Linked DNA regions of Canis lupus familiaris. The protein of the gene in region 1 binds, or shares a complex with, the protein of each later gene. Links are inferred from orthologs where the notes say so. Each region holds a gene or a part of one and is shown in the gene's direction. Other genes may lie near its edges.

Region 1 (2,926 bases):
CTAGTGATGGCTTACCTTCAGGGATAAAGGATTGAGAGAAAGTTAGGGGAATCAGTCTAAGTCTGAATGAAAAGCAGCACCTCTCTGGTCTGGGACCTTCTTATTTATCCAGTCCTGTGTATGGTGGGAGAGGTGGCAGAGGCAGCTGGCAGCTGGAGCCTGAGTATAAAATGGGGTGGATGGAAGATTGCTGCTGCCTTTGGGATGGAATGGGACATTTGGTCGCTGGAAGTAGGTGGGGCCAGACTCACAGAGGCCCTAACCCAATCAGCCAGGAAGTGGCCTCTCCGTGTCATCAAATATTAAAGGCCTTTAATTCAATCCACCATGACAAAGAGCCTGGAGTGCCCCTGAAGTCTGGCCTGGTCTTCCCCTCCCCCTGCCCTGTGGCAGCCCCAGCTGAGTGGGAGGCAGGCTGTGGGTCTGAGGACCCCTTTCTCTCCAGGGAGGCCATCAGTCTGGTGTGTGAGGCTGTGCCCGGTGCCAAGGGGGCTACAAGAAGGAGAAAGGTACCTGGGGCTGATGGGGCTGGGGGCACTGCTGGGAAATGTGGAGGAGCAGGGGGAAGATAAGTCTGGGACCTGTGGGGGGAAGGCCAAAAGGCGGAGGGAGGGGGATTCGTGGTGTGGGGAGCCCCCAACTTCTGAGACTCTGGGCCCTTCCCTAGCCCTGTAGCCGCCCACTCAGTGCCATCCTGGGGAGGAGTAATCTGAAATTTGCGGGAATGCCAATCACTCTCACCGTCTCCACCAGCAGCCTCAACCTTATGGCCGCAGACTGCAAACAGGTTGGTGGGGTTGGGCAAGGGGGCCAGAAACACTGCTGGGAGAGCGGAGCGGGGACCTGGCCACAGGGCCAGGAGCTAAGACAGGAAGGAAGGAGGAGCATAGGAGGACCTGGGCTAAGAAGCCAAAAGGGTGGGACTGACACTCCAGGGCTCCGGGCCCGGGCTGGGGGTGCCCAGGAAGGCCCCAAGGCTGCCTGACCTGTGTTATTCCCTTCCTTCTCTGTACCCTGCCCTAACCCTCAGATCATCGCCAACCACCACATGCAGTCTATCTCCTTTGCGTCCGGTGGGGACCCGGTGAGTTGGGGAACAGGGTGGAGGTGGGGGAGGAGTAGGGGCCATGCTGTCTGGAAAGAGGGTGTGCTGGGGTCCAAGTGGTGTCTGGAAAGGACCAGGATGTGTAGGGGTCAGGAATGAGGTGGGCTGGAAACTGGAGCTAAGTGGCTTCTTCTGACCCTGCCCACCCCAGGACACAGCTGAGTACGTCGCCTATGTTGCCAAAGACCCGGTGAATCAGAGAGGTGAGGCGTGGTGGGGAGCGCTGGGTGGGGCCGGCTGTCCGTGAGGCAGGTGAGCAGGACCTGGGTAGCTAAGTAGGGCTTCGGCTGGGAAGATGAGGCCCCTGACCGCGCCTCCTCCCAGCAGTCCACCAGAACTCACTGACTGCCTTTACTGTGCCCCCAGCCTGTCATATCCTGGAATGTCCCGAAGGGCTTGCTCAGGATGTCATCAGCACCATCGGCCAGGCCTTCGAGTTGCGCTTCAAACAATACCTCAGGAACCCGCCCAAGCTGGTCACCCCTCATGACAGGTGAGCGGGTGCGCAGGGTATGGGCAGCTCCTAGGCACTAGCTGGAACTGAGAAAGCAGGTCTGCTCCACTGCCCACGCTTGAGCTCAGAGAGGGTCAGGGGGAAATAACCTGTGTGCCTGTTTCCCACTTCCTGCTATTCTTACGTTTCCTGTGGCCGTCAGGAAAGTCTGGCCAGGTCCTGCCTGCTTCTGCAGGCCCGCTCTTCCTCTCGTATGCCAGGCCACCGTGCTGCTGCTCTGCCCTTCTGTCCTCAGCCACCTCACTGCTGGCCTGTCTCTCTTTCTTGACCATTTCTCCGTCCTTATTTTTTCACTTTCTTGCCCATAGAGCCATCAGGAATTTGGGTGAGGGAGGGTGTCTTTTTTCCTGAGATCTCGACCTTTCTTTCCCACCTTAGATCAGTAGCTACTGAGTATTTAGAGGAGGTTAAAATATTCTGGAGTGCATCCCTTCTTTCTACTGTGTGCTTCCCCTTCCTCTTGGGAGATAGCATAATAACTGAGAACATGAACTTTAAATCAAATCTGATGTTACCATTCAGGTCTGCCACCGTTTAATTGTGAAACAATAAGCAAACGTCTCCACCTCTGCTCCTCATCTCACCTGTATCACTGGAGAAGGGGGTATAGATACCTTGCAGGGCTGCCAGGGGGATAGAATGCCTGTGTGTAGGAAACGCCCAGACTCAGGCCCACCCTGCAGGAAGTACCCAGTCCATGGCCACTGTCTGTGCCCCCTTGTTCCCTCCTGTCCCTCTCAGGATGGCTGGTTTTGACGGCTCAGCTTGGGATGAGGAGGAGGAAGAGCCACCTGACCACCAGTACTATAATGACTTCCCGGGGAAGGAGCCCCCTCTTGGGGGAGTGGTGGACATGAGGCTTCGGGAAGCAGCCCCCCTGGGGGCTGTTCGGCCCACCCCACACGTTGTCCAGACCCCCAGCCACCTGGGAGCAACGCTGGTAAGTTATTTGGATGGAGGTGGGCTGGGCCTGGGATGGGAGTGGCCAATTTGGGCTTCTGGTCTCATTTCATTTTTGTTTCTGCAGCCTGTGGGGCAGCCTGTTGGGGGAGACCCAGAAATTCGCAAACAGATGCCACCTCCACCACCCTGCCCAGGTGTGAAGGGAGCTGGGAAGGGCAGAGTCAGGGGTGTGGAGGCAGGGCTGGGGTCACGGTGATGCCTCTGTTTCCTTATCAGGTAAAGAGCTCTTTGATGATCCATCCTACGTCAATGTCCAGAACCTAGACAGGGCCCGGCAAGCAGGGGGTGGGGCTGGGCCCCCCAATCCTGCCATCAATGGCAGCGTGCCCCGAGATCTCTTTGAT
Region 2 (4,255 bases), about 1.4 Mb from region 1:
CTGGGTGGCTCTGGCAGCCGGGACCCGGCGGAGCGAGCCTGCGGAAACCCGGCGGGAGCGCGAGCCGCGTCCTGAGCATGCAAGCCGTTCTCCTGCCGGAGCCCCTCGCAGCCCCCGAGGCTGCCACTCCGCTTTCGCGCGAGGCTCCATCCCAGCCAAGTCCCTCGCCACAACCGAGATCCTGTGGGCCCGCTTCTGTCCGGTCGCCTTCCCAAGCCCGCTGCCGTCGGTCTGTCCGTCCCTGTCTCGGAGCTGGAGGACGGCCTGCGCTGGGAGCCTGGCGAAGGGCCAGCCGCGCCTCTCGCCCTCCGAGGGCTTGCTTCGCGCTCTCCCTGCGGCCCTGCTCTCCCTGCCCGAGTCCCTCCTCCCGGACCCTCTTGCTCGCCCTTACCGGCCCTCCCCGCTTGAGACCGGCGGGCTCCTTCGGCCACCGAGGCCCGCGAGGCGGGAGGCGCTGGGGATCCCGGGGCTTTCCGGGTGCGCGGCCCTCGAGGGCCGACGGGTCCCCAGCTCCACCCGCGGGCGGCTCCCGGGTCCGAGGAGCTAAGAGAAGATCTATTAATTTCTCCGTGCAGAAATCGATGCTCTTGTCAGGGCGGCGATCGATGCCAGCCCAGCCCGGCGGGACCCCACCCGGCCCGGGCCCGGCGCTGGCCGGCTGGGGTCAGGGCGGGTCGCTGGGGCCGGGGACGCCTCTCGGTGGGGTTGCAGACCGCGCCCCCCCGCCCTGGAGCTCGCACCTCTGCGCGCGGGCCTCCAGCGCCACCCTGTGGTCTCTCCCGAAAGCGGGCGTCCGGCTCCCTAGGCTCCCTTCCCGGGCTGTTTCGGGGCGACACATTACCTCGGCTGTGCCTTCTTTCCCCAGATCCTGCGTTCGGTCCTTTTGGGATCCCTTGCCCTTTCTTCCTACGGTTAGAGAGTGTTGCACCTCATTTACCCCAAGTGACATCGTACACTGCCCCCGGGGCGCGCACCGTGAGGAGGGAGATCTGAGGGCGGGGGTGGGGGATGGGGGGCGGTGGACGATGGTGGGGGACCGGGCTGGCTGGGACGACCCCGACGGTAACCTTGCCCCTGCCCTGTCATCTCCCCGCCCCCTAAGGGCAGCATAGGCTGGGAGAAATAACGGATCAACTTCTCAGCCGCAGTCCCCCGCCCCAGCAAGGACCTCCAAGGCGTTCCTTCTGCGACAGAGGGTTTTGGGGGAGGAGGGGCTCGGGGTCCCCAGAAAGGGGTAGGGGCGGCCTGGGGGCCAGGACCCGAGTGGCGGAGGTGGAGCTGGAGGGGGCAGGGCGGGGCGGGGCGGGTCGCGGGCCCCGCCCTTTCCCGGCGGCCGGGTCTTTAACGCGGCGGGCGCACGTGTCTGGGGAGGCCCGGCGGCCGCGGCTGGGAGCGCACGGACGGCTGCCCGCCGGCGCGATGCTGCGAGGCGGACGGCTTGGGCAGCGGGGCGGGCACGGCCGGGCGGCGGGGCCTGGCAGCCTGCTGGCCTGGCTGGTGCTGGCGTCCGCGGGCGCCGCGCCCTGCCCCGATGTCTGCTGCCCCCACGGCCCCTCGGGGCTGCGCTGCACCCGGGCCGGGGCCCTGCAGAGCCTCCACCGCCTGCCAGGCGTTGAGAACCTGACGGAGCTGTGAGTGTCCCGCGGGCGGGTGGGCGGACGGGCGCGGGCGGGCGGAGCCCTGCCCCGAGGGCGCGGACTCTAGTCAGGCTGGCGGGGTCCAGAGGCTGCACCTGGGCCACCTCCGCCCGCCGTGGCTCTCGGCCACCACCGCAATGACCCTCTGGACCGTGCCTAGTGCTCGGTGCAGCTGGGGCAAGGGGCTGTCCGTGGACCAGATCTGAGACAGCCCAGCCATCTGGAAGCAGCCTTCGGGAGATCAGACTGGAGTCCAAGCTCTGCCTCCTGGAGGGGGGGTTGGTTAGCTGCCGAGAACCCCACTGTTTGGCACCCTTACCGCCTTAGCCCCTTAAGGGGGAAGCTGGTCCCTACCCCGTTCCATGCCATGACCTGGCAACACCAACTCTTGCCTCTGGAACTGGGAATTTAATTGGAATAGGTGGGAGGTGGTGAGGAGGCATAGCTTGGTGCCTGCGCTCTCCTCTGCATTTCCACCATTTCTCATCCCCACTATGCTTTGATTTGGATGTAGAAAATGAGACTTCTAGCTTTCCTCACCCCATCTCCTTTTCCACCTTGTCCCCCTATTTGAGGCAGAGAGCCAGGGCTCTTGTTGACAGACTCTCCTCTTTTCAGGGCTCCAAACTAAGAGAAAACTCCAGCATTCTGTAGTACTCTGACATCCTGCAGTAATTGGTTACAAAATACTGGAGTACTTCTTAGCAGCTGGTGAAACCTATGGGAGTGTTCTGTAATAATTGGCCTAGAGGTACTTGAGCATCACATGGTGATGCCTGGAAAATACTTGAGTATTCTATGTAGCTGATGGGGCCAGCAAGACTTTGAGAAGAGGGGAGAAAAATCCCCCTCCTGCCGCCTGGGACTTAGAGGGTGGGCAAGGAACCCTGGCCTCATGCGGTGACGGTGACAGGTTGGAAGGCATCCGAGGTGGGAACCATCACTGTCTGGAAGTTACTTGAGCAGCCTGAGATAATTGGCAGTGAGTTACTCCGGTATCTCGTGGTAATTAACGGGAAGGTCCTCAATCTCTCTCTTTAATGGCCCTAGGGAGACCAGGAAGAGAGGAGATGGCCTTGTCTGGGTCTGGGCCTAGGACTCTGCATGATGGGAGGGGCTGCTACCCCCAGCCCAGTCCTCCCTGTGCCTTCATACCAGGGCCCCAATCCTGAATGTTCTTCATCAGAGCTCTTTTCCCATTCCCTTCCCCAAGTGGGTCCAACCCCAGCGGGGGAGGGGGCGGGGTGGGGGAGTGGACTTGCTGGGCTGGGGACCAGGAGGCATGCAGGGTGGGGAGCCGAGAGGTTCCTCTGGGTGGGGCAGCAGCCTGACCCCCTGCCTCTGCCTGCCCATCCCCTCCTCCTCCCTCACCCGCAGAGCTAACGAGGAGATAATGGACTCAAAAGACAGATTGATGATGAATCCAAACGAATGAGGCAGCTTTGAGTGTGCTGCCTGACAGCTTGCACACAGCCGCCACCCCTCCCTGGGTCCCTATAGCTCTAAACCCTGTGAGCAGGGACCTGCTCTCGGCCCCAGTCACTGGAGATTGCTCTCTAGGCCTCCCAGTGGAGGACCCCCTACCTGGCTCTGCTGCTGGGGCCCAGGCTGGGAAGGGGGAGGGGGAGAGGTCACTGGGACTGTTCCTGGTTCCAGCTAAGGAGAGTGAGAGGAGAGTTCTGAGAACAGGCAGTGAGTCAGGGGCCCCTGGCGAGTGTGATGTGTGCGTGTGTGCGTGTGTAGGGGTACACTGACATGCCATTGCAGGACACCCGAGTTCCCAGGAACTCCATGGCGTGCCAGATCCAGAAGCTGGGCAGGGCCCAGGGCGTCAGCAGCCTCCATCCCCACGTGTGCATCCTCCTGTCCGGCTCCCTATCTGGCTTTCTCCGGAGCTCTATCCTTATCTCTGTGTCTCTGTCCTTATCCTTATCTGTCTGTTCCCTCACCAGTCTCTCTCTCTGCCAGTCTCTTCTTGCTCATCGTCTCTTTCTCGGAGTCTCTGTTTCACTTTGTCTGTGTTTTCCTGCCCTGCCTCCCCCCTCCCCTGAGCCTTCCCATCACTGCCTTGCCATGTAAGCTAGCCTGTCTGGGCCCCTTCACCCCCAACCCCTTCCCTGGGTGCCCCTCCCAGTGCCCCTCTTCCCCTTCTTGGGTCCCTCCTGGGGCAGCCTCTGAGCCTCTCGCTGTACTGCTGTAGGGTGGAAGGTGGTGGTAAGGATGGCTGCCTGAGAGTAGGGAGGGGCCTGTCTTTCTGAGGTTGTGTGTGAGTGAGCGTGTGTGTGTGTGTGTGTGTGTGTGTGTATGTGCCGCAGTGGGGGGCAACCCAGATAGTGACCCTGTGTTTGGGTACACACATCCTTGCATGACCACAGAGTCCCCTCTGTGCTGGGGGGCAGTGGCTCTGGTGAGCCTTGGTTCTCTGTGGCAGTGAGCGTTCCAGTGTGACACCCATCTCTGAGCATGTATAGGGGAGGCCCTGTGTAGAAAAGCAGAACCCCAAGCTGAGAATGGGCTTCTGTGTGTTTATGAATGTGAATCCGTGTGTGCACATGAGAGATATATGTACACCATGTCCATGTGTGACGTGTAAGCATGCTGATGTGCACACCTTGGTC
Region 3 (4,252 bases), on another chromosome or scaffold:
TCAGATGTTCGGTTATTCTCATCTCAGCACTATTTTGTTGGCTTCCAGGGAGCACACTACCATTAGATACGTTCTGTTCTCTTTAATTGGAAAGAGCTTTTGGAACTGAAAAATAGGAGTTACTTCTTCAAGCCTCATCTGCTGCTCCCCCGTTCTCACCCGCCTCACACAGGAATCGAACAACTTAGCATCGCACAGAACACGACTCTCTCTCACGCCTCCGTTCCTTTGTACAGGCATGCGGTTCCCTTCGCCCGAAGCGCCTTTCCCCGACAGCTCCGTCTAGTGAACTCCTACTCGTCCTCCAAGACTCAGCTCAGACATCATCATCACCTTCTCTGGGAGGCTATTCTGAGATGGGCAGAGTAGCAGTTCTCCCTCCCATCTTTTTAGCTTCCTCAGCATTCTCCCAAATAATTCTAACATTGCATATGGCATTTTTTTGTTTTCTTCCGCTCCTCTAATTTTTTAAAAGATTTTACTTATTCAAGATTTTATTTATTCAATTCATTTTTAAGATTTTATTTATTCAAGATTTGATTTATTCAATTCATTTTTTAAGATTTTATTTATTCATTTATTCATTTATTATTCATAAGATTTCATTTATTCATTATTATTCACACACAGAGGCAGAAACATAGGCAGAGAGAGAAGCAGGCTCCATGCAGGGAGCCCAATGTGGGATTCGGTTCAGGGACTCAAGGATGACGACCTGAGCCAAAGAAAGATGCTCAACCGCTGAGCCAGCCAAGCCTCCCTCTCCGGCTCCTGTAGACCGCGATTTCCTCGATTTCCTCGAGGGCCGAGATACCTGTTCATCATTGTACCTCTTTACCCAACACCTGTATACCTATACCTATGCCTAGGATTAGCACACATCAGGCACTTGATTAGACCCATGAGCGAAGAATATGTTCATTCGTCTAACAGTGCGGTTTGGACCGAATTCTCAAGCATTTCAAAAGCTGGTCCTCTATTTGGAGCGCTTCAGGATAGAGGGAGATTCCGACATCCCCCGGCAAAATCCTCGGTTTGATGGCAGGAAAAGGGAAGTGATTAGGCTGTGATGAAGAGTTGCTCCTTCAGGGCTCAGCTGTCATCTACCCTCCTTGGCACAGAGAGGGTTACAGCGACCCAGAGGCGGGGCCACGTGGGTGCCACCTGCTCCGGGGCGGTCTGGCGCAGGCGCCCTGGCGTCTAGACGGCGGCTACCTGCGGGGCCCCGGCCGAGGAGGAGCGCGTGCGCTCTGGGCCTTTTCCGCCGGGGGAAGTCTCGCGGGGGCGGGGCGAGGCGGGACGGGGCGGGGCCGCGCGGGGAAGTTCTCGCGGGACCCCGACGAGGAGCGGAAGCCAGGCGGCTGTGTTGCTGCTGCTAGCGAGCGAGCGGGCGGCGGCGGCGGCGGCTGCGACGAAGACTGAAGCGGCGACGGCGGCGGGAGCAGGCGCTGCCCTCGGGGAGCAGCAGCGCGGTCCGCGGCCGCTCGCACCGCTGCAGACGGGTCGGCCGGGCGCGGAGCGGAGCTGCTGCGCCACGGTGAGTACGGGCGGCGGCGGCGGCGGCGGCGGCGGCGGCGCTGCTGCTGCTCCGGTGCTGCTGCTCCCCTGCTCGGCAGCGGGAGGTGGCCCGCGAGGACCGGGCCCGGTCTACCGAGGGCTGCCAGGGTTGGGGATCAGGGTCGGGGCGACGAGGCCTGGCGCGGAGAACGGAGTCCCCCGGGCTCCGTATTTCCCTTTTTGGGGCGCTTCCTTCCTGGGGACCGTCCTTCCCTTAGCTTAGCTCGGGGCAGGAGGCCGGGTGCGCCTCTTTAAGTTTCACGCTTTCTCGGGGGACGGCTTGCGCAGAGGGGCCCGGGAGAACCCCGGGAGCCCTGGGTACTCATTCTGTGAGTCAGTCTGACTCGGCCCGGCCCGGGAGGCGGGGGATTCGCCGCGGCTGCAAGTGTGGTGATTGATGCTCTTGCGACCTGCACGGCCACCACGTCACCATCTCCCGGTGTCTTTGGGCCAGAATTTGGGGAGGGAGCCCACCGACCCTATGAATACCGTGATTTAGAACTTTTGCTGCCGGAGCCAGCTGAGATGTCTAGTTTTTTTGTTTTTGTTTTTTTGAAACTACACTGAAAAATACTTGTAAAGAACAATAAGCAGCAGTTGGTTGGAAATGCTCCGAGGAAAGGTTTCTGTGCAAGAGGATAAGGAAGGCACTGGTATTTTTCATTTGCATCGCTCTCCATATACGCCCCGTGAGTTAACAGCTCGTTTAGGGAGTTCTTCCAAAAGGTACGATTTGCAGAGGAGCCGAAGTGCACTCGACCTGTGTCTTTTGGTACTGTTGACTCAGAAAAGAGCCCAAAAGACACATGAAAGAAGATAGCATATCTCTTTGGCTTTCCTGTCTCTCTCTCTCACTTTATACTTCTCCAGTAGTTGCCTTCCCTTTCTACCTACTTGTCTCCATTTTCACTGGGGACACTAAGTGTTTGCTTGTGTAATGCAAGTCATTTGCTCATCCCTCCCCCCCTTCTTCTAATCTACTTCCCCTTCCTCCTTTTTGTCCCCTCTTTGGCATAATTTTTCAAGGTTTCTGCCCTTTGGTGCAGTTTGTCTTCTCCCTCATTTAAAGATTCCGTTTTCTCTCCGGGGAAGATACCCTTTTTCCTGCTTTATCCTTCACTTTGAAGCGTCCACTGTGTTCCTTCAGTCAGCCAGAAGAGTTGCCAGAGAGCCTTGGGAGACTTTAAGTTCTCCCCCTGGGAACTGGGAGGCTCAAAGGATTGAATTCATCCGTAAGTAATCAATACTGCCACTAGGTCACAAGTGTAGCTTGCTTGTGTTATTTGTGTTTTAGTTGTTCTCTTCATTTTAACATTGTGCTTTTGTGCCTGCTTACACTTTTCTTCCTATGTCTCTTTTATACTAGTAAGGAAGATTGGGTCAATTTGGGGTTTGTAGGACTTCTTTTTCGGCTTTTAGTGGGAGTGGTGTGTGTTAGAAAATGAAAACCAACCTTAGACCTATGTTACAGTAGAATTAAGATAACATTAAATATTTAAGGGAATAGAATTTCTTTAGATCACTGATGAATTAAAACTTGCCCATTGGGCAGCCCCGGTGGCGCAGCGGTTTAGCGCTGCCTGCAGCCCAGGGCGTGATCCTGGTAGACCTGGGATCGAGTTCCACATCGGGCTCCCTGCATGGAGCCTGCTTCTCCTCTGCCTGTGTCTCTGCCTCTCTCTCTCTCTCTCTCTCGCTCTGTGTCTCTCATGAATAAATAAAATAAAATATTTAAAAAAAAAAACAACTTGCCCATTGTGGCAATTGGATTCTTTACCAGGGTTCTTCTAATGGGGCATCGTTGTTACTGTTCTTGGGGTTTTTTCGATATAAATAACTGTTTCATTACTCCTTCCTTTGTCCAAAATTTTCTGAATTCCCAAAATAAAAACCGAAGTTAATTCTTGTAATTGGCTTTCTTTGATACTAAAAGCAAGCATTTAAGTGCTTGAGGCAGTTTACTCCCTTAGCAAGTGTATTCAGATTTGAGGGATTGCTGGGTTTTAAATACTACTAGTTGATGGTACTTAGCAGTTTTTTTGAGAAATTGCTGTTATGTTGCCTGTTGTGCAGCAGCAGTTCTGATTGTTGCCTAGAACAAAATAATAATAGATTTTGGAGAAATTAATACAGAATAGAGATGTACCATGCTCTCCTGAGAGAAATTAATAGTTCCTTGCTTAGTTCAAAAGACTTTCCTAGCACTACTGAAAGGCTATTGAGAGCCCTTGGTTTTATTTGTTAAAGTTGGCTTTTTCCTAGTTGAGCCAAGTGAATGTGCATTACTTTTATTTTATGCAAAGACATTGTAGTGCATTATCTGGAATGCAAAGTTTGAAATCTGGTTAAGGCATTCTACTAGTACAGCAGTGATTCTTAAAATTTAGCATGCTTAAGAATTACCTGTGAATCTGGGATGCCTGGGTGGCTCAGGAGGTTGAGCATCTGCCTTTGGCTCAGGGCGTGATCCCGGGGTTCTGGGATCGAGTCCCACATCAGGCTCCCTGCTACGAGCCTGCTTCTCTCTCTGCCTGTGTCTCTGCCTCTTTCTCTCTCATGAATAAATAAATAAAATCTTAAAAAAAAAAAAAAAAGAATTACCTGTGAATCTTATTTTAAATTAGGCTCTGGGGCTAAGGCCACTACATTGCAAAACTCCAGAAGGCATCCCACAGTGAATCAGTGTCTGAATGAG

The links.
Region 2: the proteins of SHC1 (region 1) and NTRK1 are in contact, whole or in part, in an NMR structure (PDB 1SHC), measured with the Homo sapiens proteins. The link is inferred for Canis lupus familiaris from reciprocal best matches to the Homo sapiens genes SHC1 and NTRK1. Residues at the interface, in NP_892113.4 of Homo sapiens: Met176, Arg177, Ala178, Leu179, Ser259, Ile260, Ser261, Phe262, Ala263, Ser264, Gly265, Gly266, Lys279, Asn283, Arg285, Ile301, Ile304, Gly305, Phe308, Glu309, Phe312, Lys313, Gln314, Tyr315; in NP_002520.2 of Homo sapiens: His489, Ile490, Ile491, Glu492, Asn493, Pro494, Gln495, Tyr496, Phe497.
Region 3: the proteins of SHC1 (region 1) and GRB2 are in contact, whole or in part, in an NMR structure (PDB 1QG1), measured with the Homo sapiens proteins. The link is inferred for Canis lupus familiaris from reciprocal best matches to the Homo sapiens genes SHC1 and GRB2. Residues at the interface, in NP_892113.4 of Homo sapiens: Asp423, Asp424, Pro425, Ser426, Tyr427, Val428, Asn429, Val430; in NP_002077.1 of Homo sapiens: Arg67, Glu71, Arg86, Ser88, Ser90, Asp94, Ser96, Gln106, His107, Phe108, Lys109, Leu120, Trp121.

Annotation. Positions count from the first base shown.
Region 1 is NC_049228.1:42,491,467-42,494,392, forward strand, and holds part of SHC1 (SHC-transforming protein 1), read left to right. Parts: intron 1-445; coding exon 446-509; intron 510-667; coding exon 668-787; intron 788-1,030; coding exon 1,031-1,084; intron 1,085-1,256; coding exon 1,257-1,308; intron 1,309-1,471; coding exon 1,472-1,598; intron 1,599-2,360; coding exon 2,361-2,559; intron 2,560-2,646; coding exon 2,647-2,716; intron 2,717-2,798; coding exon 2,799-2,926. UniProt on the Homo sapiens protein: Signaling adapter that couples activated growth factor receptors to signaling pathways. Participates in a signaling cascade initiated by activated KIT and KITLG/SCF.
Region 2 is NC_049228.1:41,137,497-41,141,751, reverse strand, and holds the start of NTRK1 (high affinity nerve growth factor receptor), read left to right. Parts: upstream 1-1,419; coding exon 1,420-1,631; intron 1,632-4,255. UniProt on the Homo sapiens protein: Receptor tyrosine kinase involved in the development and the maturation of the central and peripheral nervous systems through regulation of proliferation, differentiation and survival of sympathetic and nervous neurons.
Region 3 is NC_049230.1:5,987,205-5,991,456, forward strand, and holds the start of GRB2 (growth factor receptor-bound protein 2), read left to right. Parts: upstream 1-1,385; 5' UTR 1,386-1,537; intron 1,538-4,252. UniProt on the Homo sapiens protein: Non-enzymatic adapter protein that plays a pivotal role in precisely regulated signaling cascades from cell surface receptors to cellular responses, including signaling transduction and gene expression.